Linked DNA regions of Alligator mississippiensis. The protein of the gene in region 1 binds, or shares a complex with, the protein of each later gene. Links are inferred from orthologs where the notes say so. Each region holds a gene or a part of one and is shown in the gene's direction. Other genes may lie near its edges. The genes, in order: EIF4E, EIF4G1, EIF4EBP2 and CYFIP1.

Region 1 (6,891 bases):
TTTCTAGGGAATAGTTTTGTGATAAATCTGGTTAAACTTTGTCAAAATTGGTGAATGTAGCAGCCACCCTTTATTTAGGTTAAGTGTAAGATCCCCTCAAATGGTTAATTGTGTAGTTTCCTGGAAACCAGCTACGCGTGCGAAGTAGCTATCACACAATAAAAAGCTCCAACCAGCAATCAAATTAGAACTCAAAAGTGTGTACTAACTTTATAGCTGGTTGCTATTGAGCTTTAATTTGCAGGTGCAGTAGGACCTCCCTGTAGCTGGGAGCCCCATCAGATGGTGGGGTTCCCAACTGCAGGGATACACCATGCCCAGTATAAAACCTCTGAGCCCTAGGAATCACAGCAGCCACAATCCCCAGGGTCTGGAGATTTCTGGGAATTTCCCACACCCTGGGCCCTAGGGTTTGGGGGTATGGGAAACCACCAGGGGCCAAAGGATCCTGGTGATCCTGGGGGTTACCTATACCCCCAGGCAGGGGGATTACCCTGCAGTGAACCTCTGACCTTGGAGGTTTCCTGCACCCCTGGAGTGGGGAGATCACCGCAGCAGCAATCCTCCAGCTCCAGGGGTGTGTGGGGTGCACCCGGAGCTGGGAGCCCCTAAACTGAGGTGCCTGGGGCTCCCAGCCATAGGAGCTTGCTTCTTGTCAGTACAGGGGGAACCCAGGATTGAGACTGCTTTCCACACTCCTTGTGGGCTTTTCCTGGCTTCATAGCAGTAGAACTCAGAAAAACGAAACTGCTGCCTGTTGCTGCTGTCCCAAATATGCCCCTTTGGGAGGAGTTCAGCTGCCAAGAAGCAATGCCAGAATCTCCATGGGGCTGCTTGAGGGATGGTCCACAAAATGCAGACATCTTTGAGATATGGAGGGAGGTGAATTTATCTCAACCACTTTTTACACAGACACTTGTAAGCCTTGAGTTTCAGAATGGGAGAGAGCAGCTGTGTCACAGGCCACAATGGCAGGAAGACTGTGAGATTTTTTAAATCAAATCTCTCTAAGGCACTGGCAGCCAAATCTTCCCTCATCCAGGAGAGGAGAGAAACTGTAAGGCAGCAAATGGAGATTTATCCCATTGCTTGGTGTTAAGATGCTATAGTGGTGAGCCGCTTAGAAATGCTGTAGACAAGGGGTGTCAAACATAACTGGCCATATGTTTCATGCAGTGCACTGTTAGTCCAATGGGCTCCTGGAAGCTGGGGGAGGGAATAGTGGTGCATAGCCTGCTGCAGAATTAGGAGTCACTGAGCACTATTGGCAATGCGTAGGGGGTGCACGCAGGTGCACATGCATCCCCTGAGATTGGCCATGCACCCCCTGGAAGCAGCAGCTGCAAAACTGGAAGTGCCGGTGGAAGCGTGCTTCCAGTTTCGCTGCTAGTGGTTCTGGGCTTGGCAAATGGCCACCCCCCCAGTCGGAGATCTGGTGCACCCCCAGACTCGGGAGGCACCAGTTGCCTATGCTGGGCACTAATGGACATGGCTGTCAATGATAAAGGAGGCAAGTCAGAGCTATGCAGATACAGCCCTCACTTGCTCCACCACTACCCAACCTGTATCACTGCCCTTGGACGTCTGCCGTCACCACTGGACCTACTGCAGCTACTGCTGGCCCTGCAGATCTGGCCTGGAAGGACCCCTCAGGGTCTGGATCTGACCTGAGGCTCAGGTTGAATTTTACACCCTGCTACAGACAGGCAGAGCAAGGGTTTTTTGGTGCCATCTTTCCTTAGATCAATTGCATAGTTGGGAGAGATGCTTGATGAGCTTCTGGATACCACATGCCCCTCTTCATTGCCCAGAAGCTTGCCTGATATCATCCCTCCCAACCATACAGTCGATCCAAGCAAAAATATCACCAAAAAATGCCTTGGCATCTCCTGGACCAGCTGCAGAGAGTAGGACATGGACTAACGGCTTGACGTCGCAGCAGAGTAGGTTTAAACTGGATATCAAGAAAAATGTCTTCACTGTTAGAACAGTGCGGCAGTGGAACAGACTGCCTAGGGAAGTCTGGACTTCTTATCACTGGAAGTGTTCAAGAGGTTGGACAGCCACTGGTCAGGGATGATCTAGGCGTAGCTATGCTTATGCTCTACTCTGGGTATTTCCCATGCTTCTGGACTTTGCTGGTTGCCCCAGCCCCTGTTTCTGCTACATGTATCAGGGTGTTTTTATGCTTCCGTTAGAGGCATTGGGTGTTGGCAACAGCCAAGGCTGGGGACTTTGGGGTGTGTCACTGCTTCTGTTGAGACCAAAGCTGGAGGTTCCTGTCTAGAGGCTCTTGCTCCGCTGCTCATACTCAGAGCAATCAGTGTATTTGGGGTCAGGAACAAATTTCACCCCCTGGCCAGATTGGTACCCACGGGGATCAGGGGGCAGGGTTTGCCTTCCTCTGTATGGGGCCATGCCCTGCTACCCAGGGTCCCATGAATGTGTATTAACCACCTGATATGGAGGCAGGACATTGGCTGTGCGGTTGCCCTGCTTTACCTGTGGTAGGTTCTGAGTGTTTTGTGCTGTGTCAGGGTCAACAGTGGTCAAGGCTGCAGCTTGTGTGGGGCAGTTCAGACTGGGACACTCCTGCTTCAGGTAGGGGGCTGGGCAGAGTGAGCTGAGGAGGCCCCTTCCAGCCCAGCTTCTGTGGGAGGTCTATGATCTCCCCAAGCAGCCAGGCTACCACAGCACCACATCTCACACGGGCAGCCCAGCCCAGCTGGCCGTACCAGCGTTGCCAGATCTTAACTATGAAATTATTATACTGGAAGCTCAAAATTAATGTATTTGCTGAAAAACTATCATACATGGAAAAAATATGCAAATACATATGCAAACAAGTTTTCTTCTTATTTACTTTATAATACTCACTTTGAGTTGCCAGTGAGTGAGAATTGGCTCATCCAAGTTAAAGCTTTTTTTTAATTTTCTGAGACAAGCAGTCATAAGAAAATGCTGGTATGTGGGCTAAGATCAGCTATAGTCACTGTGTTGGTGTGCTGCCCAACCCAAGGTGGAGTTAAGTGACATTTTGTAGTGGAGGCTGCACCCCTGTCCAATGCGCTGCGGACAGGACACCCTATAAGGGTCTTATAACTAGCTTCCCAGTGGCCAGCCTCCAGTGGGGCTGGGGCCTGCAGGCAGGATGCCCACCAGCAGATCTGGGAGTCTCTGAAGCCCCAGGCTGAAAAGTCTGGGGTGTGGACGATACTTGCTGGTTGTAACACCACATGCGATTGAGGTTTGCTCAATCAAGAGGATTCAGAACTATTTGGCTAATTTGACTGGAATACAAAATAAATAAATAAACAAACCAAAAAACCCCAAACCCAAAAGTCAGTTAAGACTCCCTGAGAATGACTTGGGTTTTGCAGATGCTGCATCGATTCGCTTCCTCAAAAAATATTGTAAATGTGCTAGAGTTCTGCATTTGTAAATTTTGAGCACTTTTACCATTATTGATCGCAAGGGTTGAAATTACCCTACAAACACGATGACTACGGTGCCCCTGGCAACCCGTGCCCGCGGGGCCAGTCCCGCATTGTGAGAGCAGGCGCGCACGGCCCCGCCCCCCGGGCAGTGGGCGCCGGGCAGCTGGGGGCGGCTCCGCCCGCGCCCCTGCAGCTCCCCGACCGGCCGCTAGGGGGCGCGTCCCCTCAGGCTCCGCCTGGAGCGCCGGGCCCATGTGACTGTCTCGGTCCCGCCAGCGCCAGGCAGGGGGAGTGGGTGAAGGGGCCACCCCTTCCCCGGCGGCGACTACACGTCCCAGAAGGCCCCGCGCGCCCCTTCCCCCTCCTCCGCGCGTAGGCGCCGCGGGCCCCCAAACGGCCGCGCGCTTCACGTGACCCCCCGCTTCGGCCAATTGCGTTTGAACCTGGTTTGCCATCCGCCCCCCCCCCCCCCCGGCCCCGCCCCGCGCCGCTGGTGCGAGCGCAGCGATCTAAGATGGCGACGGTGGAACCGGTGAGTGTTTCATTCCCTCCCGGCCGGGCCCGGTCCCTCGCTGCCGCGGGCCCGGCCACGCCGCGGGGAGGTCCCGGGGTCGGGCCGGGCCGGGCCGGGCGTGGGGGAGGGGAGCGGGACGGGAGGCGCCAGCGGGGGCGGCGGAGGGGGGGCGGGGGGATTCCGAGCGCGTGAGGTCGGCGCGGCGCGCGGGACTTGTGCCGTCACCGCTGGGCCGGCGGGAGGGGAGGGGAGGGGGGGGGGCGCGTGAGCCGGTGGGGAGGGGGGAGCGGAGGCCCCGGCGGTTCCTGCCGCCCCGCCCGGCCACGGGGAAGCCGGGGCGGCCCCACGCGGGCGCTTCCCCGGCCTGGCCGGCGCGGTGCTTCCGGCGCCTGGGGGGGTGGGGGTGGTCTCCGCCCACGGGGGGGCCGGAAGGGGCCGGGGGCGCCCGCCCCCTCCCCCCTCGTCTGCTCTAGTCTGCGCCGCATTGGCGCGCTGGGCCGGGGAGGCCGTGTGCGCTCCGTCTGCGCTGGCGCCGGGCCGCACGTGGCGGAGGTGCGGGCTGGAGAGCGCCAGGCAGGATCCCGCCTCTTAGCAGGAGCGCAGGGGCCGCGCTGACCTTGTCCTGCGGGAGCGAAGTCGGGCAGCGCTGCCCCGTGGTCTGGAAAGGTTTAACCCCCCATCCCCTTTTTTATCCTTTGAGCTCTTTTTTCTATCTCAAAATCCCAATTTAAATATTCTCTCAGCCCTCCCTGCCAGGAGCCGCTGCTGCTGTCTGTGCGCCATGCAGTGGAATCTTAGTTATACCATTGCTGCAGCTGGGGGATTGGGCCGAACAGGGCTGGGCAGGGGAGCCTGGGAGAGGTGCATGGAGTCACTGTTTTACTGGCTGGGTATGCACACTGGAGCCTGCCGTTAGGCATGGACTGCTTTTTACAAGTCAAATAAAATCAATCTTTTAAAAGGGTTGTCATCAGTTTGTTGTCTTATTTAACAAAAAGTAAAGGGCAGCGACTTTGCAGATGAAAAGCATTTTAAGACTTCACTGAAAAGATCTTGTGTTGTACTCCTGTGAAATAATTGGGGGGGGGTCCACCTGTGTGTATGCCTGTGTCCCTTTTTCCAGGCAACAGATTCCTCTAAGAACAAAAATATCGTTAAAATGGAAGATAAAAGATGACAGTTAAAATTTAGTGCATACAAACAGTGTTTGCCTACCAGCTCTCAAAAACAAGGTAATTCACTTACCGGGAAAACTGGAGCAACAGACAGTGCAGGTGGCTTTCTCCATGTAGCCTAGTCACTGTCTTCTGTGTTTAATTTGGGAGTCACCATCCCTCTAAGGTTATGTTCGTTCAGTTCTTTGCAGTGACTGTCAACATCACTGCTTGTAATGATGACTGGACAGCCACTGGAGACTGAACTGAGACCAAGCATATTTAATTTAAAGAACCAAATAACTATCCACCGCTCTCGGTTACCTTTTTCTATCTGAGTTAAAGGGTCTGCCTCTCTAATCTCCCTTCTTTCATTCCTGACGTGCTTTTTTCCCCAACTTCCTAGGCCCACCTGACATCTCAGCTGTGCGTGTGTTTATAAAGTGTCCAGACCAGACAGTGTTGCCATAATAGACATAATTGAAATGTATTTCGCTGTGGTTCAGATTAAAGTGGGAAGGGTCTTTTGAGCAGGTAGAGGGGGAATGTCTGCTATTGAAACTTTTAGAATTTGAATCTGGGTACATAGAATCCTTCCTTTTTCTGCAGTTCTGATGTTTTCTCCTCTGTTATAATGGAAGCATTTTATGAAGCTGCCATGTGTCACCACACTTCTCTGGAGTTGGAGAAAGAGAACTTCTGTAAGGAGGATATGGATGGTGGGTGGGACAAGAGTGCACTGCCCTGTAGGGGGATAAGGCCTCCAGAAGAGAGGTGAACTAGATGCTAAAGCAATGTTGGTTTCTTTTTCTTGAAAATACTTTTAAAGGCAGTTCTCCAGTCTTGAAAACCTATGAGGTACAATGTAAAATCATATTTCACAGAGTCTCAAATATTTTTAACATGGGTTTTTGTTGTCCATTAAGCCACCTAATCATGTATCTATAGAAAGATGGTTCAAAGGGCCTGGCTCCACACATGCACCGACTGAATTACACAGTATTTCCAAATATTGTTATCTTGCATTTTTCCAAATATTGTTATCTTGCATTTTTAAAATGTAGTAGTTTTGCAGCTTAGAATGAACTTTTGTCTGATAAGAAAAGGACTATTACATTCTATTAGAAAAGTTCACACGTTTTGGTTATTTTTTTAGAGTTCAACAATAGCTTCCAGAAAATAATTGTAAGGGCAAAAAAGGCTTTTGTCCTAATGCAATAAATATTTTAGGTGAATACCATGAACATTTTATATAAATCAGCTTGGACCTTCCATCTCCCAAATCGTAAATAGGTTTCATTCTGCTCATTATTCTTTAACTTTTTGTTTGATGTACATGCCAGTTGCTTTGGTATAGTGAACTAATTGCACTTTCTGAACTGAACTCTTGGCTGAAACTGCTGAGGTCTGTTTAGCTCTTTCTAGTTTTGAATAGGCATGTATAAAATTAGATACCAAGTATATATAGTATCAAGGCCCATGATACTTTCATGACTGAAATGACTCTTCTTGTAATAAGTTAATTCAAAAGGTCAGCAGTTAAGTTGAGGTATAACATTCAAGGTGCTAGGTATTTTGCCAAAATAGCTGCTAAAATTCCAGGTATATCTACAGCCTCTTTCTTTTTTGTTCATGGAAAAATATAGTGAAAAATTACATATAGATATAGACGTATATCTTAGCTGCCACTGCAAGGCTGGAATTTGCCTTCATCTCTTTTCATAGATTCATAGATGTTAGGGTCAGAAGGGACCTCAATAGATCATCAAGTCCGACCCCCTGCATA
Region 2 (7,516 bases), on another chromosome or scaffold:
GCTCTGCAGGTCCTCCCAACATGCTGGGGTTTACAGAGCAGGAGCTTTTAAGTTACACATGCCATACCTGTTGGTTTGTGGCCTGAATGATGGTTTTGCTCTGCTATACCCCATAATCCCCTGCGGTTGCAAAGGCCCGTGTGATTGGGGTTATGAGGGGGCAGCACTGGGGGAGCTGAGCAGATGTTAAGGGGAGTAGTACCCAGGCAGGTGACAAGGATAGGACAAGGTTGGGGGTGTGGGGTGCTCTGGCTTGCTACAGGCTGCCTAAGGTTAGAGAGGTCCCTCAAGGCGAGCTCAGGTGCCCTTCTGAGGGCCTCCAGCTAGGCACCAGCTCCTGGCACCTGCAGAGTCTGTACCCTTGGGCCTGGCTGCTCTCACAGGCCTTGCTGCTGCCCCGCAGGGAAGGGGGAGGCAATCGAGGCTATCCTGGCGGCGCTGGAGGTGGTGTCGGAGCCCTTCCGTAGCTTTGCCAACACCCTGGTGGACATCTGTGCGTATGCTGGTGAGTCCCAGCCCTGCCCAGCAGTGGTGGAGGTTGAGAGGGGGTCGGCTCCAGGACCCTGCCCCTCCTCATAAGGCCAATCCCATGGGCCTCTCTTACCTACAGGCTCAGGCAATGTGCTGAAGGTGCAGCAGCTGCTCCACATCTGCAGTGAGCACTTTGACTCTAAGGAGAAGGAGGAGGAGAAGGACAAGAAAGACAAGAAGGAGAAGGAGAAGAAAGAAGGCTCAGCTGACATGGGGGCCCACCAGGTGAGGCGGGGCATGCAGGGCTTTTGGCCTTTGTCTGCCCAGGGAAAGGCTTCCAGCAGAATCTGCCTGCTTTGTCCACAGGCAAGGGGGGCATGGCTGGTGTCTATTCTGTTCCCTTGAGCTGGGCAGCCCCAAGGGGCAGCTTAAGCCAGCTGTTGGCATGAAGACCTGGCTTGGCCTGGCCTGGGAGGGCTCTGGAGAGAGCCTTCACCCTGGGATGGGGAGAGGGGCAGAGCTGTTGGCCTACTGGGCCTGGTCAGGCTGGGTGGTTTAGGACCTGGTCCGTGCATGCCTTGGCCAGTGCTCAGCCCGCATGTCCGCCCCCTCTACAGGGTGTGGCTGTGCTGGGCATCGCGCTCATTGCCATGGGGGAAGAGATTGGCGCCGAGATGGCTCTGCGCACCTTCGGCCACCTGGTGAGTGATGGCACTGATGTGGGAAGGGGAGGAGGCTTCACTGCAGAGGGAGGGATGGACCTCACAGGGAGCTCTAGGTGTGGGGCAGGAGAAGACAGGGAGTGCCACCCCTCAGCCTGGCACTGCCTGCTCGTGTTTCCTGGGTGCCCACTGCCTGCTCACATCCCCTCCCAGCACTGCAGAGAACTCTGCTAGTCTTGTGACAGGGACTCCCTGGCATGTGTGAGGGATTCAGGGCCCAGCTTGCCACCAGGCTCTAACGTCTCCATCCCTCCCGACATAGCTGCGGTATGGGGAGCCTACGCTGCGCCGCGCTGTGCCCCTGGCCCTGGCTCTGATCTCCGTCTCCAACCCACGCCTCAACATCCTTGACACCCTCAGCAAGTTCTCACATGATGCTGACCCTGAAGTCTCCTACAACTCCATCTTTGCCATGGGCATGGTGGGCAGTGGTAAGGCCCCTGGCACTGTGCAGGAGGGAACTGGGGGGATGGGGGGGGTGGTTACTGTAGTCTCAGCAGCTGGATGCTGGAGTAGCAGGGCTCTCTTTCAACCTTCCTTTGCCTATCTGTTCCTGATTAGCAGAGCCCCAGTGCCAGCTGGGTCACACTGGGCAGATGCTGCCATCTCATCTCACTGCTGGGGGTGGGTCCTGCCCAGGGTGGAGTGGCAGCTGAGCCTGTCCATGTGTGCATGCAGCTGTACTGCCCTGGGGCCCCTCACTTCTGGATACACAGCCCAGAGTCCTGGTAGACCTCATTCCGGATCACTCGTTGGAGAAGTGGTAGGGATGTGTCTGGCATCTGGTACCCAGGCTGGGGCTTGCAGCCTGTTCCTAGCTTCCTGCTCACCCCTGGTTCCTGTGCAGGCACCAACAATGCCCGGCTGGCAGCGATGCTGAGACAGCTGGCCCAGTACCATGCCAAGGACCCCAACAACCTCTTCATGGTGCGGCTGGCTCAGGTAAGTGCCTGGAGTTGGGTGTCTTGGGGCTCAGAGCCCTGCCCAGGGTGCTGGCCTGGGGCCCCGTCCTAATGCACCTTCCTTTTGCTGAGCAGGGGCTGACTCACCTTGGGAAGGGGACCCTCACCCTGTGTCCATACCACAGTGACCGGCAGCTTATGAGCCAGGTGGCTGTGGCGGGGCTGCTGACTGTGCTTGTATCCTTCCTGGATGTGCGCAACAGTGAGTATGGTGGTCCTTGCCCACAGGGCACTTTTGGGTCTGAGGGAGGGTACCCAGCAGAAGGTTGTGCGTGGCTCAGCCCCTTGCTCTTTACCCTTGATGAGCTGGGTTGTGCTGCTCAGGTGGGTGGGTGGCTTTGGCTGTGTCCTGCAGGCTGTAATGCCCCTGTCTCCCTCCAGTCATCTTGGGCAAGTCACACTATGTCCTGTATGGGCTGGTGGCCGCCATGCAGCCACGAATGCTGGTGACGTTCGATGAGGAATTGCGGCCTCTGCCTGTGTCGGTCAGGGTGGGGCAGGTAAGAAGGCAGTGGGGGAGCTGCTGGGTTCTGAGACTGGAGAGGTGATGGCTTGAGGCTGAGGGCTCCAGGTTGGTGCCATGGGGCTACCTGCAGCCCTAGCAGCACCTGTCTTGGCCTGGGAGACTTGAGCTCGGTTGTGGGTATCTGTGGCTGCCTCCATGTCCTCGATGCTGACCCTCACCCCCTTCTACAGGCTGTGGATGTCGTGGGGCAGGCAGGCAAGCCAAAGACCATCACAGGCTTCCAGACGCACACAACGCCAGTGCTGCTGGCACATGGGGAACGGGCTGAGCTGGCCACAGAGGAGCACATGCCTGTGACGCCCATCCTGGAGGGCTTCGTCATCCTGCGCAAGAACCCCAACTATGATGTCTGAGCCTGGGGCTGGGGTGGGGCAGGGGCTGGAGGGGGGTGGGGAGGGGGAGGGGCAGGGGCATGTGCTCAGCTCCTCGCTGCTGTTTGTTACTGAGGAGCTGGTAGGCAAATAAATCTATGGGAGACATAGGCTGCCAGCTGGTTCCTCCAGGTGGGGTGAGGCAGACCTGGGTGCCTGGGTCCTGGCAGCTGGGGTCGGGTGGCCTGTGCTGGCTGTGGCAGGGGGCTGGCAGGCTCTAGCTGGAACTAGAACCTGGGAGGTAGCTCCGTGCCCAGTGGCTCCCCTGCCTCCTAGCAAGACGCTCGGACTGGAGGCCTGGGGAGACAGCAGCATTTGATGCCAAGTGTGGGGCCTGGCTTGAATTGAATTCCCAGGGCATCTGTCTAGCTCTGGTGCCATCGGGCACCTGTGAGGGAAAGGTGCTGGCTCAGGGCTCCTCCTGGTGCCCCATGCAGGATGTCTCTTTGCACCCTGAATGCCCCTTCCCCCTGCGCAGCAGCTGCCTGCCAGGGGCGGTTTACCCCGATGTGGTGATGACTGACCATTCCTGTCCCAAGCCCCATGTGGCGGCTATTGAGCCTACTCTGCTTTGCCAGGCTCCTCACTTGAGCACAGTAACTAGGCTGAAGGGGACAAGAGGCTGCTGGGCTGATCCTAAACCCTCCTTGCAGGGGGGCTGGGGCTGCTGCCAGGGCTTGGGGGGGGGGGGGGGGGTCGCTGGTACCTGGCTGAAGGTGGGGGCTACAAAGTTGAGCTGAGGGTGAGGCCTAGGGCCAGCCTCGCTCTCTAGTTGCTGCCCCCAGCCCCAGGGCAGTGGGGGCTGCAGCCCTCCCGTGCGCCCTAGGGGTTGCTGCCTTGCTGGCAGATGCTTCCTGCGTGTCCACATCCCTTAGTGCCGCCGGCACCTCATCGGCCCCGGCCGCGCTGATGACTTTAAGCCTTCGCTGCAGGGCTCGTTCCTCGCTCCCAAATGCAGCCAGCTCTGGGGTGGGAAGCGGCCGCTCGTGCCCCTCCCTCTCCCTACCCTTCTTTCTCTATCTCCGTCCACTGCCCTGCAGGGAGCAGGACCCAGCTCCTTGCTGCAGTGGGACCACCGCCGGGTGCTGTTGCGGCTGCCCCCGGCCCTGCGAGGAGCTGCAGGCCCGGTCCGCTGCCCGTCGGGGGCTGGAGGGAGAGGGGCCGACCAGCCCTAGTGCAATGGACGCCAGCCCAGATGCCTCCGGGGCAGAAGACTGAGGGACAGGCCTGCCCTGGGCGCATCCCGCTGGCTCAGGCGGGGGCGGGAGTCGCGCACGTGCCACTCACGTGGGCGCGGGCCGGAAGCGGGGCGCATGACGCGATGACGCCACGTCCCGGAAGGGGCGGGATTTCGGGGCGGGTGTGGGGTTGTCACGTGACGAGGGCCGGTTTCCCCCCAGCGCGGCTTCGGCGGCGCCACCCCGTCCCCCGCCACGTGGCCCGGCCGCGCCGCCCGCCCCGCCCCGCCGCCGCCGCCCGCCGAGCGGTCCGGAAATGGTCGTGCTGCGCTGCGTTGCGGCTGCGTCGGGCCGCGCGGACTGAGCCGGACGGAAGGTACCGGGGCCGCCCCCCTCCCCCACCCCCGCGCCGCACCGGCCCCCCTCTCCTCTACTCCCTGCCGGCCCGGCCGCCCCCACCCCCCCTCGCCACGTGCGGCCCGGCCCGGCCCGCGCCCCCCCTCCCCCCGCGGGGCCCATTGTCCGCGCCCCGCCCCACCCCTCCGCCCCCCCCACGTGCGCGGCCCGGCCCGGCCCGGCCCCACGTGCGCCGCCGCCCGCCCGCCCGCGCCCCATGGCGGCGCCGGCAGTGACACGTGTCCTTGGAGGCCGCGGCCGCCTCGGCCTCGTGCGCGCGGTTCGTCCCCCCCCGCCAAGGGTTAACCCCCCCGGGCGGGTACGAGCCGGCGGCCGGGCCGGGAAGCCCGAGGCCTACAGCCGGGCCCAGCTCCCTCGTGGCGCCGCGGCCTAGTGAGAGCGGAGGCCGGGCCTGTCCCGTGCCCCCTCCCCCGCTTCCCCGGCGCCTCCCCGGCTGTCCCGGGCTGGGGGCTTCCTGGCTGCCCGAGTGGGATGCCTCGGCCCCGGCTCCAAGTCGTGCTCCCTCCTCCCCTGCGCAGACCCGCGGGAGCGGGGGCGCTCGCACCGGGGTCCGTGGCGGGTGGGATTCACCCGCGGGCGGGGGGCTCTGGGCATCCACGGGCCCTTTCGGGGGTGGCGGGGGCAGGCGGCACGTGGCCGCGGTGGGGTGGGTGCGGGGTCGAGCTGCGGCGCTGAGGAAGGGTCGTTCCCCGCGCGGTGCCGGGCCGGGGGCGCTGTGCCCGCCGGCCCCGGGCGTGGGGCGAGGCGGTGGGGCGCAGGGAGCTGGCGCTCTGTGTTTGTTCAGCGGGTGGGCCCGTCTGACGGCGTCCCGTCTTGGCCCAAGGGCAAGGGCCTGGCGGGGGCCGAGAAGGCGGCACTGGCTGCTGGACGCAGCTTGGCAGGCCCCTAGCAGCGCAGGTCGGGGAGGGGCTGGTGCCCAGGGACCCATCTGTGGCTGCCTCGTCTCGCCCGCCGTGGCACGGGCCTGGTGGGGTGTGCCCAGGTGCCGGGCGCTGCGTGGGGACCCCAGTAGACGGGCTCGGGAAGGCGACTGGGGTCCTGCCCCGGGGAGCAGGTGCTCTCCTGGATCGTTTTAGCCCAGGTGCTGCCCTGGCACAGGCTCCCCGTCCTGCCAGCCCAGTGCTTGGTGCAGACCAGTGTGAGCAGGGGCTCCCAGGGGGTGCCCCCTTTTCCACCCCAGGGGCGTTTGCTGCCTTTTCCGCAAGGGGAAATCTATCGTCAGCCCCTCTGCCCTGCTCCAGCTCCCCCAGGGGCCGTGGTGTTCGGGGGCAGCCCCGCGGGGGTCTGTCCGTGCTAGGGGCAGTGTCTAGGCCAGGTGGGGGAGGTCCGGCCTTGCTGCTCGGGAGCAGGGAGCACCAGGCCCGAGGCTGCTCCTCTCCGGCGGGAGTGACTCATGCGTGGAGTTTCGCCGACAGGTCGGGGCAGCGCGGGGAGGCCACATGGCTCGGGCGGGGGTGGGGTTTCGGGCGCTCCCGGCTGCTCCGTCTGCTTGTGTGTGTCTCCGTCTCGGTGCCTCTGCACTGCAGCAGACTGCGATCCGATCCGACACCGCGCTCCTGCCGCCAGGGGGGCGGGGGGCTCTGCCCGGCTGTGCCCATGTTAGGTGCGCGGGGCCCTCCCCGGCGCGGCCCGGCCGGCGGCTTTGCAGCCTCATGGTGTTTCTCTCCTCTTTCTCTCCCATCCTCGCTCTGTCTTTCGAAGCCAGTCGGATGCACGGTCTCTGCAGGCCCGCTCAGCTGGCCCGAGTCTTTCCCGTGGGGGGGTGAGTATGGCCTCGCCCCGCGGCATGGGGGGGGGCTGCGGTGGGTCGGGGATCTGCGTGCCTGGTGGGGGAGGGGACACAGCTGTCTGGGTGCCGGCAGGGGGCTCGGGAGCGGTGTTACAGAGGCAGGATCTCTGCTGGGCTCCAAAGTCCCTTCTTCCAGCAGCAGGCTTGTGCAACCAGCAGCGAATGCACCCCCCACCCCCTGCGTCCGCCTGCCTGGGCGAGGGCTGGGGCCTGGGCACGCACGCTGGGCGCCCCGCCAGCCTGTGGGCATGCACACCAGGCGCCCTGCCAGGGAGCCCTGCCCCAGGCACGTGGGGGAGGGGCTGGGGAGTTGGGGCAGGGGTGAGGTTAATCCCACCTGTGACTTGGCCCCAAGGTTTAGGCTGGGGACAGGGTCATGCCTGTGTGTCTCTGCAGGGGGGCAGCATTGGGCACCTCAGGGGCAGGAGCCAGCTTTTCCCCCCCCGCCTTCCTGCTCCCAGGTGCTGTGATGGGGTGTAAACACCTGGCTGGGTGGCATGCTGTCCTTGGCCAGGGGCTCTTTTCAGTGACCCTGTGGGCTGCTTGGCTGGCTCTCACAGCTTGGGCATCTTCGTGCCGTCCTCTGCCGCGTTCCTCCCGGCTGCAAGGAATTCAGGGGCTCAATCTGAGGCTTGTGGGGTGGGGGGGCAATGTTGGATGCGTGGGCTGGTGTGGTTGTACAGCCCCCCCCACTGTGCCCTTTGCCTGCCCCAGGCAGGTGGCACCAACCCAGCATTTCCCAGAGCCCCTGGCCCGCAGCAGGTGCCAGGCTCTAATGCTGGGGGGGTTTCGGGGCAGGGAGCTTCCCTGCCCACATCCCCTACGCTGTTGTGGGGTAGGAGTTGAGCCTATCCCTCCTGCTGATGTTGCCCACTGGGTCCCCTCCAGGCTCCCTGGGGTGTGTAGGGCTGGGCTGGGGGTGCTTGGCCAGGGCCTGGCTGCCTCCACTGGGAATGCTGAGGCCAGAGCATCGGGTTACAGGCAGCCCCTGTTTGTTTGGGTGCCTGGGCAGCCAGGCCTACTCTGCGTGTGGAGGGGCCCGAAGGCTTTCTGGCCCTGGCCTTAGCAGCAGGGGGAGCG
Region 3 (7,521 bases), on another chromosome or scaffold:
CTGTGGGACTCTTCCTTTAAATTCAGACTCTATGTGCCCACAGGTTTCTAATCTAGCATCATGAATTCAGTCCTATGTTACTTAAACTCAGCATTCATTGGAAGATTTTGGTTTATGGAAATGCCATATTGAACAACTGCTCTATAGACTTAAAGTTTAGTTAGTGTTGAAACTTCCACTCATTAACTTCTCCTATATTAAAAATAAAAAATGGAATTGACTGTTATTCCATTAGAAAAATTAGATAAAAATAACAACATTTCACAATAGAAAGAAAGTATTATTTGGTAAGTAGGACCAACAAATAAAACCCAGGCATCCATTAAAATTTTTGCTTTGGGTACATGTTTTCAGCAGCTTCTTGAAATGTATAATCCCCATGCATCCAACAGCAGCAGCAGCTCTTGCAGCTGCCACTATTACTTCTGCCGCTGTTCATGTTGTTAGCTGCTGGTCTCCTGGGGTTAATTTGTTTTGCTCTGTCTTCAGATCTGTTGCTATTGAGTTATGAGTTTGCCTAGGCCAAGCAGTTACAGTTGTTATCACATTGTAGCTCTGAAAGTCATTTTTTTGCCCTAGAAGACTCTGAAGGCTATCTCATTTGTATAGCAAGACTTTAGCTGTTCTCCAATTTCTAAAGGAACATTTTAGGTTTTGGCATGTATATCAGTTTTATGTGACATAGAGTAAGGCCCACATTCTTGAGAAGTAAACTTTTACTGTAGAAAATATCGTATGTGAAGCTTGTAGGGGACTGATGCTTTCATGTCTGTGGTGCTTGTCAAAATCTCACCCAAGACAGGAGGAATTAAAAGATAGTAACCATCTCCTGGTTCTTCAGTGAGAAATGGGTTGTCCTCACTCCCAAGTGGATTAGTATCCATGTCACAAAAAACTTTCTTACAGTTAGCTTGTAGCCTCAACAAAGCTAAAAACTAAGCATAGAAAATGACTTTCTTATTTGTCTGTATAGAATAAGACTTTGTCTGTACTCAGTCCCAGATCATCCTTTGTACCAGAGTTTTAAGCTACCTTTGTGTTGCCTTAACCCAGGGGCTGCTGGAAACTGAAATAGCCCAGAGCATCATTTAAAAGCACTCTCTGACTTACTGTCAGTTTCATGGGCTGCAATGGCCTTCAGGGAAGCCACCCCAGCAGCTGGCACCCATTGGAACACAGAAGCACTCTGACTGTGCTCCTTTCTCCGGCATGGCTTTTGTGGCCAGTCCTTTACTGCTCAGGGATTCTCTTATGCTGAAGAATCTCTGAGTAGCTGGATCCACTAGGCCTCCAGCTAACTTGCACTGTTGTAAGTAAAGGGCATGGGGGAGTTTAAGAGGGATCCAAGGCCCCTGTTACTTTAAGAGGGAAGAACAGCAAGCTAGAGCTGCATTCTGGTAGGGACAGCTGAATTTAAGCCAGCAACATTAGACTAGGAAGGTCAGCTGTGTAAACTGCAGCAGAGAAAATGAGGCAGTTTATTGAGCTAAATGGAGTCACCTGGGCTAAGGGAGTGGCATGTGACCAAAACTGGGTGGAGCCCAGGGAGATGCATGTTCAACCCTGAGCCAGAGCAGGAGTTAGGTCCTCTCTTAAGAAAAGGAGTTTGTGCTTTCAGGGAACATAGAAAGCTGGGGTGGAGAGGTGTTTGTAATGTGCAGAGACCTGAAGTAGAGCAGATTATGTTAGAGGTTGGTGAGTTTATGGTTGTGTTTTGTGGTTAAAGTTAACCAGAGGTTTGGGTTGCACCTGGAAAGACATGTTGTAAAAGCAGCTTGGTCTGGGGTCAGAGACCTGGAGGGCTGAAGGCTGGTATAGAGGAATACTAGGCTAGCCTGGGTTCAGGGGCCTAGAGGGTTGGCCAAGTTAAGCCAAGGCTAGGAGGGCTAAGGCTAGGTAGTGGTGCTTCAGCCTCTCTTGCCAGGCTTCAGTCAAAGTAGGGCCATGGACACAGGGAAATGAGAGCCTTGTTAGGTACAGGTGCCTGCCAGGCTAAGCTGAGCCTAAATAAGGCTAGAGGGCACAATGAATGAATCTGGAGTAATGTGTCTGGAGGCCATGATTAGAGAGCCTTTAAGGTGCAATTGGGCCCAGTTGAGTCATGACCAGCATCATGGAGACACAGGTGCCAATAGCATAAGCAGTGCTGATCAGTAAACTGTTGGCATGAGGAGGACTGGGGTGTCCTGTTAAACAGAGCTAATATGAGAACAAAATCCCAGCAGCTCACTCAAGGACTCCAGGAGACAGGTAATTTGTATGTTGTATTTTGAGGCTAAAAATGTGGCCGGAATCGGGGTGGAGGGGGGGATGGGATTAGTTCAACCACCAGGGGGCACTGCAGCTGCCTCCAAGCCGTCCTGTTTCAGGGAGGCCAGAATCTGGCTCAAGAACTTTAGAAACGATTGCTAGCAGTTTGGTGCCAGGTCAGCTTTAACACTGAGTTGGACCACATAGGAGAGAGCCCCAACAGTTTCCAGAGTCTCTACTGCTGTGTCAATTAAACTGCAAAACCCAGTGGTAGGAGCCTAGAAGCCTCTGGAACTGTCTGCATTGGATCTACTAACAGCAGATGTAAATGGGTGGGAAATCACTGGTAAAATTTCCTATTGTAGACAATCATCCCCTAAGAAAGAAGAAAGCCCCTGTATCAGGGCTAAAATGGAATAGCAAGGCTATGTGGAAGATGACTGCTCTGCCAATGCTTATGTTGTACCTGTCCTGTAGATGGAGAAGAGGACCTCAACCTCCACATCTGCAAACCTGCCACATAACCCCACAGTATGGCATATGCTCCCAGTCCCAACTCTATTTCTAAAGAGCCCATATTTAGTTGATTTTCTGCTGCTCTGTGGGCCCTCTGCTTTCTTGGGTGTGGAGTCACTGTTTCTGGGTTGAGTTCTCCTTGGAGGTTGCACCCCTCCTGAAGTCAAAATGACTGCTACTTTTCACCAGTACTAAATTCAACATATCTTTTAAATTAAGTATGAATTTTCTCTTATAATATAGTATTTAAAGGTCAATGATGGATGTGTTGAGCTGGTAATCTGAAAGTCAAAACAACTCTTGCAATAAAATGTTACTGGTATTGTGCTTATAACAAATTTTTTGCCACTCATTCTTTACTTATTACAATCAATAATTAGATTGGAAAAGGAACAGATGTCAGCATTCCCTTGTTGCACCTATAAGCTAATACGTGTCTATTCATGATGCCAAAACATGGTTTAACTCAAGAGTCTTATCTTCTTTCCACAGCTACCCGTCTCCTTTCTTGTGTGCTTTGAGCAGCAGCAAAATATTAGAAAATGGTGATTGTGGGCTGATCGTTAGCGGGGTCAGAATAAACACAGGTTAATATAGGCAATTTGTACCACACTTAGTTGTCCCTTTTCAGGATGTTTGCACACCCAGGATCACATCCTCAAATCAAATTATGATTGGTGCATATTTTGACATTGTTTTTCTTTTACCAACTCTGTTCTCTTCCACAATTAAAACTATACATTAAAAAAATATTTCTAGCCTGTTACTATGGGAAAAACAAAGTGAACTGCATCACTGTAAACAACTACAATAGTATTACATGGTTACTGCGGCCCTCTCTCGCCTTAAGATGTTGGACTCTGATACTGGTTAGTGGTCTAAAGCAGGGGGCTCTAACTCCCGAGTGGGTAGAGATCAGGCCAGTGGGGGCTGCCCACACCACGGTCAGCCAAAGCCACCGCGGCTGCAGCACCATGCGCACTGGCCTCCCACGGCTGCATTTCAGTGAGTGGCCAGATAGGGAAAGTGTAAGAGAGATGCTGGAGCAGAGGCTCACTGAGGCAAGGATTTTTTTAGGGTGATGAATATCTTACTGGACAACTGTGTAGTAAAATTAGGCAGCCTGTTGAACGCAATATGCCCTTTGACAAATGAAGAATGTCACAAATTCAAAAACTTGTCTACCTACTGTGCAGTTGGTCTAATAAAAGATCCTTCTCTCTCAGGTAATGCAAGTCGTCTTTCCTGTCCCCTGCAGCAACCTCGTCTGCCTTCTGGATGTTGCAAATTAATACTGGCTCACAACGACCAACCAGTGCTGCCTGTTCAGGGTTTGGTGGGTTTTTTTTTTGCCAGTAACTTGTCCCGAGGCGCTTTAGTGGCCCAACCAGCCTTATGTGTGTGTGCTACTGATGATAAACCTGCCCCAGCTGCCCCCACGCAGCGCTGCAATTAACAGCCCCAGGGCAACAATGCGGGCGATGTGGCGGGGCTTCGGGGCATGGAAGAGCCCGGCCTGGCGGCAGACCCGGGACGGGTGGCGGCCGCATGACACAACCCGAGCGAGCACAACGCGGCCGAGCCACGTGGCGGGCCGACGCGCCCCTCGTTTGCTCCTGTGTGTCGGCGGGGATAAGAGGAGGGGGCTTCCAGGAGGCAGAGGCAGGGGCCCGTGGGGAGGAGCGGGCCGGGCCGGACCACCCAGTGAGTGCCGTGCCGTGCCGTGCCCCGCCCCGCCCCGCCCCGCGCTTCCTGCTGCTAACCGAGGCCGCGGGAGAAGGTGGCGGAGGAGGTGGGGGAGCGCGAGCCAGCGGCCTGGAGCGGAGGCTGCTACCACCCCCTGGTCCCGCAGCGAGGCCGGCACCGCCGCCCGCACCACCTCCTCCACGTCCCCGCGCCGCCCCGCCCCGCCCCGCCCGCCTCCCCCCGGCAGCCGGGACAATAGAGCAGGGCGATGTCTTCCTCCGGCGCCCACCAGCACAGCCAGAGCCGCGCCATCCCCACGCGGACGGTGCCCATCAGCGACTCCGCGCAGCTACCTCACGACTACTGCACCACGCCCGGGGGCACGCTCTTCTCCACCACGCCCGGAGGTAACGCGTGCCGGCCCCGAGCGCGAGCAGGGCAGGGCGCGGCGGGGAAGTGCCGCGGGCTCCCGGCCCGGCCCGGGGCCCCGCGCCTTCCCCCGCAGCTGGGGAGGCCCGGCCGCCGCGGGCACGTTGGGTGTTGCCCTGTTGGAGAGGCCGGGGCCCAGCCCTCCTGCCCCGCTCTGGTGCGGGACGGGCAGGCAGATATTTGTAAACAAGGCCGCGGAGGCTGCGACGAGCCGGGACTGTTGCCCAACAGGCCGGGGGGAGCAGGGGGGTCTCCCAGCAGCTGCAGTAGGGAGAGAAACGCGAACGGGCCGGGAATGCGGGCGGCCCTGGGGCCTGCTCTGGGGTCGGAGGAGGCTGCCCTCGGCCCTTCCCGCCGGAGACGTGCAGAGGAGCGTGGAGGGCTGGGTGCAAGGAAGTACTAACTTTGCAGCCTAACACGGATGTAGATTGTGCAGCCCAGTTGTTTACCGTGCAGCCCAGCGGCCTCCCCTTAGGCGGTTCTTGGCAAACTAGGCCCCTCTAGCTTTATTGTCAGGCACAGGTTTTCTCTCTGCTTTTATTGGCAGAAGGGGTCCATAAGAGCTAAGATGTAGGTGTACCAGAGATCATATTTGTATTTGAAAGCTTGGCCGGTCCCTACCACCAAAGATGAGGCCAAATCACAAAATACAGTAGTTCCTTTCCTGGTAAAATCCATGCCATGTTATGTGACTTTAATAGAGGCTGACGTGTACATGGGATTCCTGAGCTAAATATTAGCTGCGTTTCTTTGGGGGTCCCCAGGATGGCATTTGCATACATGCTTTGGGCAGCAAAGACGTTTTTGCTATTAAATAACTAAGTAGGCATTTTACAGTACTTTTCAATGTCACTTTAAAAATAGCACCCTAGTTTGTGGCCTAGATCCTTGGTAAAGCTACAGGGCAAGAAAGTAGGCAAAGGTTCCTAGAAGATCTTAATCTTCCTTGAGATTAATCAGGACCAAAATAAAAATATTCCAGGTCATAAACCTGCAGCTTTTGTATGTAATTTTCCCCAAGTCTCCTGAGACTTGTGCTTGTTTTCTATGCCACTGAAACTGGATATTGTTCTGTTTTCATTGTTGTCAATGAGGTAGATCAGAATTGTTGAATGACCATAGTTTGGATATGATAAACTGTAGTTGCGTTAATTACAGGCATTCCCCATCATTTTAATCTCATACCAGTGTTCCTCTTGTGCCTAACTGGGTTTTTACTGTAGTGGGTTTTGGTAGGTATCTTTCTGCGAGTGTATAAGTTATTAACAGCTCATCTTACTGTTGCCTCTTCATTTGGTCAGCTATGCTTGCATATTAATAGAGGTCTAAAAGAAGTGCAAGTGTTCCTTCTTTGAGAATGTTATGCAGCTACAGATTGAGTGGTGTGCATGAATTTTACAGGCTGTGTATAATACTGTCTGTTCTCCATCATGTCCCCTTTTTCTCATGTAGGACACTTTTTACTTTTTCTGTAGTATCTATTCTTTTAACTCCAGGGAATGCTATTAAGTGAGATGTTGAGTTTGTTATGGTTTTTATGTGGTGGTAGGTGGCAGCTTATCATTGGTGGTTTGAACAGATTGCTGTAAACTTTTAACAAACAGTAAGGGGCTGTTTGAACCTGTGGAACTTAACATGCAGAGAGGTGATGAGAGTGTTTCCCCTGCCCCCCATTGCCAATCTTTGCAGAATTATCATTTGCAACTTTCTTTTGCTACTCTGACATGCAGCTTTTACCCAACAGAGTACATGAGTCTGGAATTGTTGATTTGGCTTTTTTCAGGCTTGTATCTTGATGGGGTTGAAGTGGAAGCAAAGTTCAGCCTGTGAGGGTCATGCTGGGGAAATGGTAGCAGTTAATATGTGCAACTGAATCCTTCAACAAGGAAAAGGTGTGTTAACTAAAGAAGTTCAGGGGAGAGACGTGTAGAAATGATAGGAACAAGAATGATGAAAATAAAGTCAGGGCTGAGGAGAAATGCATGAAATGTAGGTAGAATGAGGGAGAAACAAAGGGCTGGACCTCAGAAACAACCCTCTTCAAACCTAAAGTGTTTCAGATCTTATAACCTTACAGAATAGAAAAGTATTAAGAGTGACCCCCTCCCGCTCCCCCTGCTCCTCTCTGACAAACCCATGTTATAATGCCTCTGGGCTGTAGTAGCTCTAGCAGTTTAGAGGGTGGTTTACTGACTGGGAGTTGCTGATATGGAGTTGGAAACCTGTAAAAGAAGTAGTAATAGAAATGTAAATATTTCATTAATGCTTTACAGGTTTAGATCCTAGAACATTGGACACAAGTCTAATATGGGGGGGGGGTTGTTTCTTTTTCTTGCCACCTACACTGGAAGGTATTATCATCTTTTTTTCCCCACCACCTCCCACCCATTCCTAATACTTCTTATGGCCATGTTTAAAAGCAGTGGTTGAGTAGAAAGGTTATGAAAAGGAAGCATGTGCCCGTAAAGCAGTGATAGGTACCCATTTGTGACTTTTATTGTTTCAAATTAATGGATAAATGTACCACAGAGGAAATGAAAGACTTACAGAGCTAGCCTGAGCTAATGTACTGCACGCAGACAAAAGCAAGATGCTTCTTTCCAAGTGTTCAGGCCAGGACAGTCCAATCCCACTTTCAAG
Region 4 (7,599 bases), on another chromosome or scaffold:
AAAAAACCAACTGGCAGTGGAGATCAAGGAGGTAACGAAGAGAGGAGTTCTGTATTATGCTCAGTTTAAATGACAACTTCAAGACAACACGGGAAGAAGTCAGAATGGAAAAAAGAGAGCAGCAGAAAGATGGTCATTGAAGACAAGTAAATGAAGTCACTCGGGTATAAAATGTGATGGAGATGAAAGGAATAAGATATAATCTTAGGGGACTCCAAACAAAAATGGAAGGCAGGAGAAATGGAGGTGCCAAGTGACAGAGGGCTCGAGAAATTGGAGGAAGTGTGATCAACAAAGGAGAAAACAAAGGAAAATGGACACTGAGAGAGAGGCTACTGCACAGAGATGCCTGTTGTGCCCCATTTGGTTCCACATTCAATATTTTAAAATTCAGAAAATGAGCAGCGCTTATCCAGATCATACATCCAAGATAAGATTAAAGATAATAGAGAGAGCTCCTTTATTAGATCATAACAAATATATTTCTACACTACAGTGTAAGTCAGCTCTGGATCCCAAAGAGTCATTTTAAGTCTGAGACAAAATAACCAAATAGGTGTTCTAGAAAATAAATTTGAAATTATGTAATTGAAGATCATTGTGGCAGTAATGGCTACAGAGCTAACCCACATTTTATTCACCCCAATCAAGACAGTTTGCTACCTAAGTTTCATTAAGTTAGTTTTATGGTGTGTTTAATATACTAATCTGTTTTTTCAAAATTACTTCCTTTTGTTTTAATTATTGCCACTATTTTGAGCTCCCTGAATGAGTATGTCAGACTTGAGTCTCTGATCAGTTATCTGTATTTTTCCTTCTCTACTTTTTTCCATTTTTTGGAACTTTATACCTGAAAAGGATTCCCTTTCTAGCCCTCTTGCTTCCCTTTGCCAAGCTACAATTTATCTTTTCCAGTGTAGTAAAAAGTAACCACTTCAGTTCAGTTATGAATTGTAATCTGCTGGAAATAGCAAGAGCACGTGGTATTAACTTTTATACATGTTAGAAAAATAAGATGGGATTGGAGATTCTGCTTCATACACTAAGTGAGCAAAGCCCTTAAGCCTATGATTAATTGAAATACATAAGTCTCTTTGACAACACAGCCATTAGTACTTCCCATTTCTCTACTGAGAACAAGTCCTTGGAAACAGAAATAAGTGCATCAATGGAAATGTCTTACTGTATTATTTGTGTATTAGAGTATGGAGAGAGAAAATTAACTTGGGCAAGGAAAGAATGGGAATGTTGAATGAGGAAAGTATTGGTAATTCCCGGGCTAAGCATTTTGAGGGCCAGTATGTAATATTGTATTATTATTTCAGACAGAATAGATATATACATTTGTGTGTGTGTGTGTGTGTGTGTGATTTCTGAAACAATTTAGCTTTATTTCTGCCCCTGGTGTACTACACACTTTCCATGCTGCGAAGAAGGTACAGTTCTTATCCCATGGCCGAACAGTTGAGATCTCTGTTCCTCATCAACATGACCCCTCTCCTCAATTCCATGAAGTGAGAAAGGCACTCCTGTTCTGTGCCTGAAGGTGCTGACCATGTGCTCAATTTTACATGTAGAAAGAGGCCTGTAGAAATAAATGGGATCACTGCAGCACATTGGGCTGACTCCTGAACACTCCACACATTCTGGGCAAGTTGACTCATCTTTTTACAAAATAAGAAGTTTTCTGGAAGAATGAAAATGCAAAGTGAGTGTTATACATGTAAATATAAGCATCAAGTCTGTTAACATAAATGTGAAAAACCCTATGTGGTGGAGTGAGAAACTACTTGCTTCAAAGTGTCAGAAAAATTCACACGGAGGCTTACACTACAGGTAAAGAAGTGGATCTACCAACATTGGCTTGCTCCCTGCACTGTCCTGAGGGTCTGACTTCAGTTTCTGCAGGATGGAGCATTACCTTTGTGCTTAACTTTGTGCACCTGCACAGCCCGATTAAACGGGAAACACTCAATATGTGTACAGCTGAAAAGGTATGCAAGTCTGCAGCACTGGGACCTGCTGCCATGAGTGCTGTGAAGATTTAGGCAAACTTAGTGTCAAGGGGTGGTGGGGAATAGGACACCTGGTACCATTTTTAGGTATACAATTTGATACAAAAACATGCACCACCAGGAGGAATGGCTGTCCCTACCTCCCCAGATTTTATCCCAGAGCTGAAAGCTGCTGATTGTTAAGATGATCTCGTGACTCCTAAATTAAGGGTGCTGAGGGGTGCTGCTTAATATTAGCACTGTTTGCTGTGCAAGCACTTACTCATGAATCACAAACCCAGAGATGTCACATAGAAATCTGGGGCAGGGGCATGTAGGGGGTTGCACTGACACACTTGCATACCCCTTTGATTTCTGCTCCACCCAAAGTTTAAAACCAACTGCCTGGCAGTGGCAGCAGCATTTCTAGTTAGGCAGCGCTGTCAGAGTCACTTGACTTCATGCCTCATTATCCATCTACCTGACCCCTTCCAAATTCTGTATTCCACAGGTGTTAACCTGCCTCTCTTCTTTTCAAGGGTCTGCCTGTTCCACCAAGCACGTTAGCCTTTCTTCAGCAACTCTGCTGTCTGTTAGCTGGTTAGGAAGCTCTTATTTCACAGCCCTGCAGACTGTTTTTAACTCTTTCCAAGGAACTTATCTTTGTTTTTGCTTCCATCTGAAACTGCACAACACAGCTCCAGGCACCCAGCCGATTAGCAAGTCTTCTAGCTTCTTTTAATTGGGGAAAAGGAGGTGTTAGTAGTAGACACCCCTAGAATCATAGAAAATGAGGGTTGGAAGGGACCTCAGAAGGTCAAAGCAGCACCATCCCCAACTAGATCATCCCAGCCAGATCACTCTATCTTCTCCCTGGATGTGTCCCAGCTTGTCAGTTGAGCTTCTAGTTTGTATCTAACTGGAAAAACATGGTTGTTGTGATAGACATAGTTGGGGTGGATCCTACTTTGATTCCTACTCCACTCAAAGTTTTAAACCAGTTAGTTGCCTGTTAGTAGCAGCAGCATTTCTAGGCAGGGAATCAATTGGCTTCATAGCTCATTCATCTAGCTACCCCCTGGACCTGCCCTGGCCGAACAGTGAAGCTTCTAGTTTCTTTTTAACTGGGAGCATTTACAAATTCATGAATGCACCATAATTACAGTGCATTAAGTTTAGTATCTGTGATGACAGATACCAACTTAATGTGCCATATTCAGTGCTAATGCACAGTAGCAGAGATGACTGGTTCTTTAGTGACATTAATGAGCATTAGATTAAATCTACTGTGCAGTGGTACAGGTTGTGTCTGCTGTGCTAATGTGCAGTAGAATGAGTCTCCTGCACATTAAGCATCTTGTGTAGGGGAAAAACAGGACCGGTGGTAAATACCCCCTGGCTGCCCCCTTGACCTGCCCCAGCCTCTGAGTACAGCTGGAGAAACACAGAAACATAGAAAATGAGGGTGGGAAGGGACCTCAAGAGGTCCTCTAGTCCAGTGGTTCTCAACCTTTTTTGTACCAGGACTCATTTGTAAACATTAGTGGCCAGTCCCGACACAGTGGCCCTCACTCCTGACCTGCTGCTCCCCGCCCCCCCGTCCCCAGTGTGTAGGGACGGCTGGCTGGAGCTCTGCCAGCCTGCAAGGGAAAAACCATGGTTTCCCACATTTTTCCCCTAAAAAGAAGAACAATTTTTTAGTTTGTTGATCCCTTTTTAAAGTTTGTTCATGACCCTTTAGTATTTTCTTGCAGCCCACTTTTGGGTCACAACCCACAGGTTGAGAAATGCAGATCTAGTCCGACCTTCTGCTCAAAGCAGGGCTGTCCCCAACTAGATCATCTCAACCAAGGCTTTGTCTACTAAGGTCTTAAAAGCCTCCAAGTCTGGAGAGTCCACCACCTCTTTGGGTCACCTGTTTCAGTGCTTTTCTACCCTCCTCTGGAGGGAGGTTTTTCCTTATCTTGAACCTAGGGTGGCCACCACTGAGGATGTTCTGGTTTTCTGCTACTCTGTCCTCTATTGATATGAAACTGGATGCCTTTATGTCCTCTATTTTTCTTTTGGAGCAATGGAGAGTGCACAGAGAGCGCTAGTGCTCCCCCTGAAACTGGTTGTGCCAGTGCACTTGGTGACTGGAGGCTGGGTCCCCCCCTGCCCCGGTGGCCGCTGGGGGACCCTACCCCCGGTCACACCCCGCTGGTGTCCCCTAGACTCAAGAGGCACAAGCCGCCCATATCCAGAGGTCTTGATGAGAAAAATAGAGGACATAAAGGCGTCCGGTTTTGTATCAATAAAGGACAACCGGACTGTGCCCTATGATGGCCACCCTACTGGGACCTAGCCCTCCCTTGCTGCAAGGTGGGTGTTGCGGCAGGCGTGGCCATGCCCCTCCCCACGTGCAGCCCCTAGACCCCCGGTGGGTCAGCCCGCCCGGCCTGGCCCGTGCTCAGCCGCAGCCGCCGCCCCCTGCGGCACGCTTGGAGACAGCAGGGCCGGCTGGGGGCCGGTTTGAGCGTAGGAAGCTGGAGCCGAGGGGGCCGGGCCCGCGCTGCCGGGGCCACCCCCCAGCTCCTGCCGGGGAAGGGAGGCGGGGCCGGAGCCGCAGGAAGGGTGTTTCCCTGCGCAGCTCCCAGCTCCAGTGACTCAGGCAGGAAACTCCCGGCCCAGCGCAGCGGCGGCGATCCCCAGGGCGGCGGCTGCACCCCGCGCTGCCGCGGACGGGTGAGCACCGGGCAGCGCCTCGCCTGCCCCTCGCTGCTCCCGCGGGCCGGGGGGCGGCCGGGGGCTCCTGCCTCTCCTCCAGCCCCCTTGTGACGTGCTGCCCGCGGGCTTCGGGCCCGGGGCTTCCCCTGCGCGCAAGAAGCCGCGGGGGTTCCGGCTGAGGGGAGGGAGGTGCCGGACCTGGGCAGGCTAAAGCCTGGGCACCTCCTGACTGGCAGGGGCTTGGCCTAGGCGGCCCTCAGCGCCTGCGTTTGGCTGCTTGGAGGCAAGGTCTCCTGCGTTTCTGAGCCCCACATATGGTACAGGGGCAAAGGGAGCGCATGCCCTGCCTGGCAAGGGGCACATAGGGAAGTAAGGCTGGAAGAGACTTCCAGAGGCGAGGGATCTCCAGAGGCATAGGGGATATGTGGGGGTGGAGGCCTGAGAGCGCTGGTGCCCCCCTGACAGCGCTCTGGCTGGTAGGGGGGCATGGAGAGTGCTAGTGCCCCCCCCCTCCCCAAATTGGCTCCGCTAGCATGTTTGGTGACTGGCTGCTGGGTCATTGTATGGCTGGCTGTGCCCTGCTGGCCCCCCCCTACCCCCCCCAGACTCAGGAGGCATCAGTCACCCATATGCAGGGGTCCTCTACTCCAGTGCTTCTTACTCTTTTTTGGACCAGGACCCATTTGCAAACATTGATGGCTTGTCCTGGTCCAGTGCCTCTCACTTCTGACCCACTGCCCACCACCCACAGTGTGTGGGGTGGGGTTAGGTGTGTGTGGAGCACAGGGGCCCCCAAGCAGCCCCTTGCAGGCTGGAACTCTGCCAGACTACAAGGAAAAAGCCAGGGTTGTGACCCACAGTTGGAGAAACACTGATCTAGTCCAGCCTTGTGCTCCAGGCAGGATTGTCCTGATTAAACCATGCCAGCCAAGGGCTGGCCCATCTGCTCTTGGACAGTTTCTAAGGATGAAGATCCCACTGTTTCTCTAAGTTGCCTGTTCCAGGTTGTCAGTGCCTCTCAAATGCGGAGGAGAATTGACACCCGTTCCCCCCCCCCCCCCAACTGTGAGGCTTGGGTTGGACTTGCTGTTGCAAAGGGGAGGCCCGTGGCTGTGGCAAAAGAAAGCACCCTTGGAACAACAGTTTGAAGGAAACTGGTTCCTTTCCAGCTCCACTAGTATTGTCTGTGAGGAGCAGGGCAGGATAGAAAGGAAGATATCAGCTTCCAGTAGACATCCTGGTGACCTGGTGGTGTTTCATCCTACTGCCTTGGCAGGACTTTCTGAAGGCAAATGGATATCTGGCTGTTTAGAAGGCCCTTCCCAACTGCAAACAGAAGGCTTAAATTTACACAGCTGATGTTTTCTAATACAATTCCCCAGCTGTTTTGGTTTGTAAGCTTTGTAGTGGGTTTGAAGAGCAAATCACACACTGCAAGCAGATCAGTATTTGTGACATCCCGCAAGCTGGTTTTGAGTGGTGACTGGATTGGTTGTCCAGAAGGGAAGTTCCTTAACAGGGATGTAAAAAAATACATTGTTAGAAGCTTTGAAATTCCTCTAGAATCATAAGACTTGTAGTTGCTGACTGGAGGGTCTCGTCACCATCACAGGTATTGCACTGCACGTGCTGCAACTTTCTAGAATTGAAATGAGGTCTAGTGAATGTTGATGCCTGCATCATTGTGAGTTTGTGTACTTTTGAAACTGGAAGGTAGAATAATATACCCTGCTGAAGCTTCCTGCTTTCTGGTCAGTATTTTCATATTCACAATCTGTTGTACTTAGATTGAATAGCTGTGATTTATATTGTTTTGTGAACCTGCATGATTAGCCCCAGTTTCATCCCTTTTCAAAAACTGTGTTGGGATCTACATATAATGTTTCGGCTGGCCTCTTCTACATGGCTTTGTTGTTTTTTTGTGTTTTTTTTCAAGTGTTGCTTCATGTCATTTGCTTATGCAGTTCAGCTGTTTTAAATAGACTGTTCCTGTAAGTGACAGAAAGTGGGAACAACTTAAAATCAAATTTTAGAATGGCGGGGAAGGGGAGACAGGCTAACTTTTTTTCCTTTTTTCCTGTCAAATGAGAGAAATCTTATGTTTTGCGTGCTGCAGACTTAAAGATCAAAGACTTGGTATAAAGTGGAGACTTTCTCAGGCTTACTTATTTAAAGAACAAAGGGCTAATGAAATTCCTGTAAAGGAATGGGACTTCATGAATTCCTCTGTTGTCTGAAAATACAAAATACATTGCAATTTTTTAAATTTAGGGTACTAGATATTGAGAAATGTATTGAAATAACTAAGACCATCAAAAAATTGAGCTTCAAACCTTGACTTATAACAAGATTACCATATTTCACGGTGCATATCCTGGATATAACTCTTGGGTTTATTCAGGTTGTAGGACTGGTTTTACTTGTAACTCCAGAGTTTACAGCTGTTTACAGCTGTCAAAAATGTAGTTGATTTTAGTAGTAATTTTTACCTTGACTTATTAAAAAGTGTTTTCTCTAACATACGTTATAGAATCATTACAACCACTGCAGAAATCATTCATAAGTTTTTGTATGTACTATTTGGATCTTATCACTGCTTTTCCAGGTATCTGTACATAAGTATATAAGTATACATATCTGTACGTAAGTAGAAAGTATAGTAGACGAGTTTCTCTCTTCAGGAAGCTCAGTATTTTAAAGATGTCTGGATGCTGTAAACTATGCTTAGAAGTGGAGTGGCGGTATGTGTCTATGTTGTACATACAGCTGAATGGTATGTGTGCCCCCTCCGGTATTGGGTTCCACCAGGGCCAGCCACTGAGCTAACAAGAAGTAAAGTGAGAGCAAAGGAAAAGATGCAACCAGAGAGATTTTTTTTAAAGTTATCTGCATGCTAATT

What was found.
Region 2: the proteins of EIF4E (region 1) and EIF4G1 are in contact, whole or in part, in a crystal structure (PDB 5T46), measured with the Homo sapiens proteins. The link is inferred for Alligator mississippiensis from reciprocal best matches to the Homo sapiens genes EIF4E and EIF4G1. Residues at the interface, in NP_001959.1 of Homo sapiens: Pro31, Tyr34, Lys36, His37, Pro38, Leu39, Gln40, Phe47, Lys49, Arg61, Leu62, Ile63, Ser64, Val69, Glu70, Trp73, Ala74, Leu75, Tyr76, Asn77, His78, Ile79, Gln80, Leu85, Tyr91, Glu132, Leu135, Ile138, Gly139, Glu140; in NP_937884.2 of Homo sapiens: Glu608, Lys609, Lys610, Arg611, Tyr612, Arg614, Phe616, Leu617, Leu618, Phe620, Gln621, Phe622, Ile623, Phe624, Ala625, Ser626, Met627, Gln628, Lys629, Pro630, Leu633, Pro634, Ile636, Asp638, Val639, Val640, Leu641.
Region 3: the proteins of EIF4E (region 1) and EIF4EBP2 are in contact, whole or in part, in a crystal structure (PDB 3AM7), measured with the Homo sapiens proteins. The link is inferred for Alligator mississippiensis from reciprocal best matches to the Homo sapiens genes EIF4E and EIF4EBP2. Residues at the interface, in NP_001959.1 of Homo sapiens: His37, Pro38, Leu39, Gln40, Val69, Trp73, Tyr76, Asn77, Leu131, Glu132, Leu135, Ile138, Gly139, Glu140, Ser141, Asp143, Asp144, Ser146, Asp147, Arg186; in NP_004087.1 of Homo sapiens: Pro47, Thr50, Arg51, Ile52, Ile53, Tyr54, Arg56, Phe58, Leu59, Leu60, Arg62, Arg63, Asn64.
Region 4: EIF4E (region 1) and CYFIP1 share a complex: the UniProt entries of both Homo sapiens proteins name them as parts of the CYFIP1-EIF4E-FMR1 complex. The link is inferred for Alligator mississippiensis from reciprocal best matches to the Homo sapiens genes EIF4E and CYFIP1.

Annotation. Positions count from the first base shown.
Region 1 is NC_081825.1:160,612,203-160,619,093, reverse strand, and holds the start of EIF4E (eukaryotic translation initiation factor 4E), read left to right. Parts: upstream 1-3,875; 5' UTR 3,876-3,951; coding exon 3,952-3,969; intron 3,970-6,891. UniProt on the Homo sapiens protein: Acts in the cytoplasm to initiate and regulate protein synthesis and is required in the nucleus for export of a subset of mRNAs from the nucleus to the cytoplasm which promotes processes such as RNA capping, processing and splicing.
Region 2 is NC_081830.1:83,637,373-83,644,888, reverse strand, and holds the start of EIF4G1 (eukaryotic translation initiation factor 4 gamma 1), read left to right. Parts: upstream 1-4,500; 5' UTR 4,501-4,606; intron 4,607-6,348; 5' UTR 6,349-6,409; intron 6,410-7,516. Other genes in the region: PSMD2 (26S proteasome non-ATPase regulatory subunit 2), read left to right, coding at 404-505, 611-756, 1,089-1,172, 1,456-1,624, 2,041-2,135, 2,231-2,357, 2,537-2,655, 2,852-3,034.
Region 3 is NC_081829.1:58,774,673-58,782,193, reverse strand, and holds the start of EIF4EBP2 (eukaryotic translation initiation factor 4E-binding protein 2), read left to right. Parts: upstream 1-4,508; 5' UTR 4,509-4,720; coding exon 4,721-4,859; intron 4,860-7,521.
Region 4 is NC_081824.1:338,765,768-338,773,366, forward strand, and holds the start of CYFIP1 (cytoplasmic FMR1-interacting protein 1), read left to right. Parts: upstream 1-4,596; 5' UTR 4,597-4,718; intron 4,719-7,599. UniProt on the Homo sapiens protein: Component of the CYFIP1-EIF4E-FMR1 complex which binds to the mRNA cap and mediates translational repression. In the CYFIP1-EIF4E-FMR1 complex this subunit is an adapter between EIF4E and FMR1.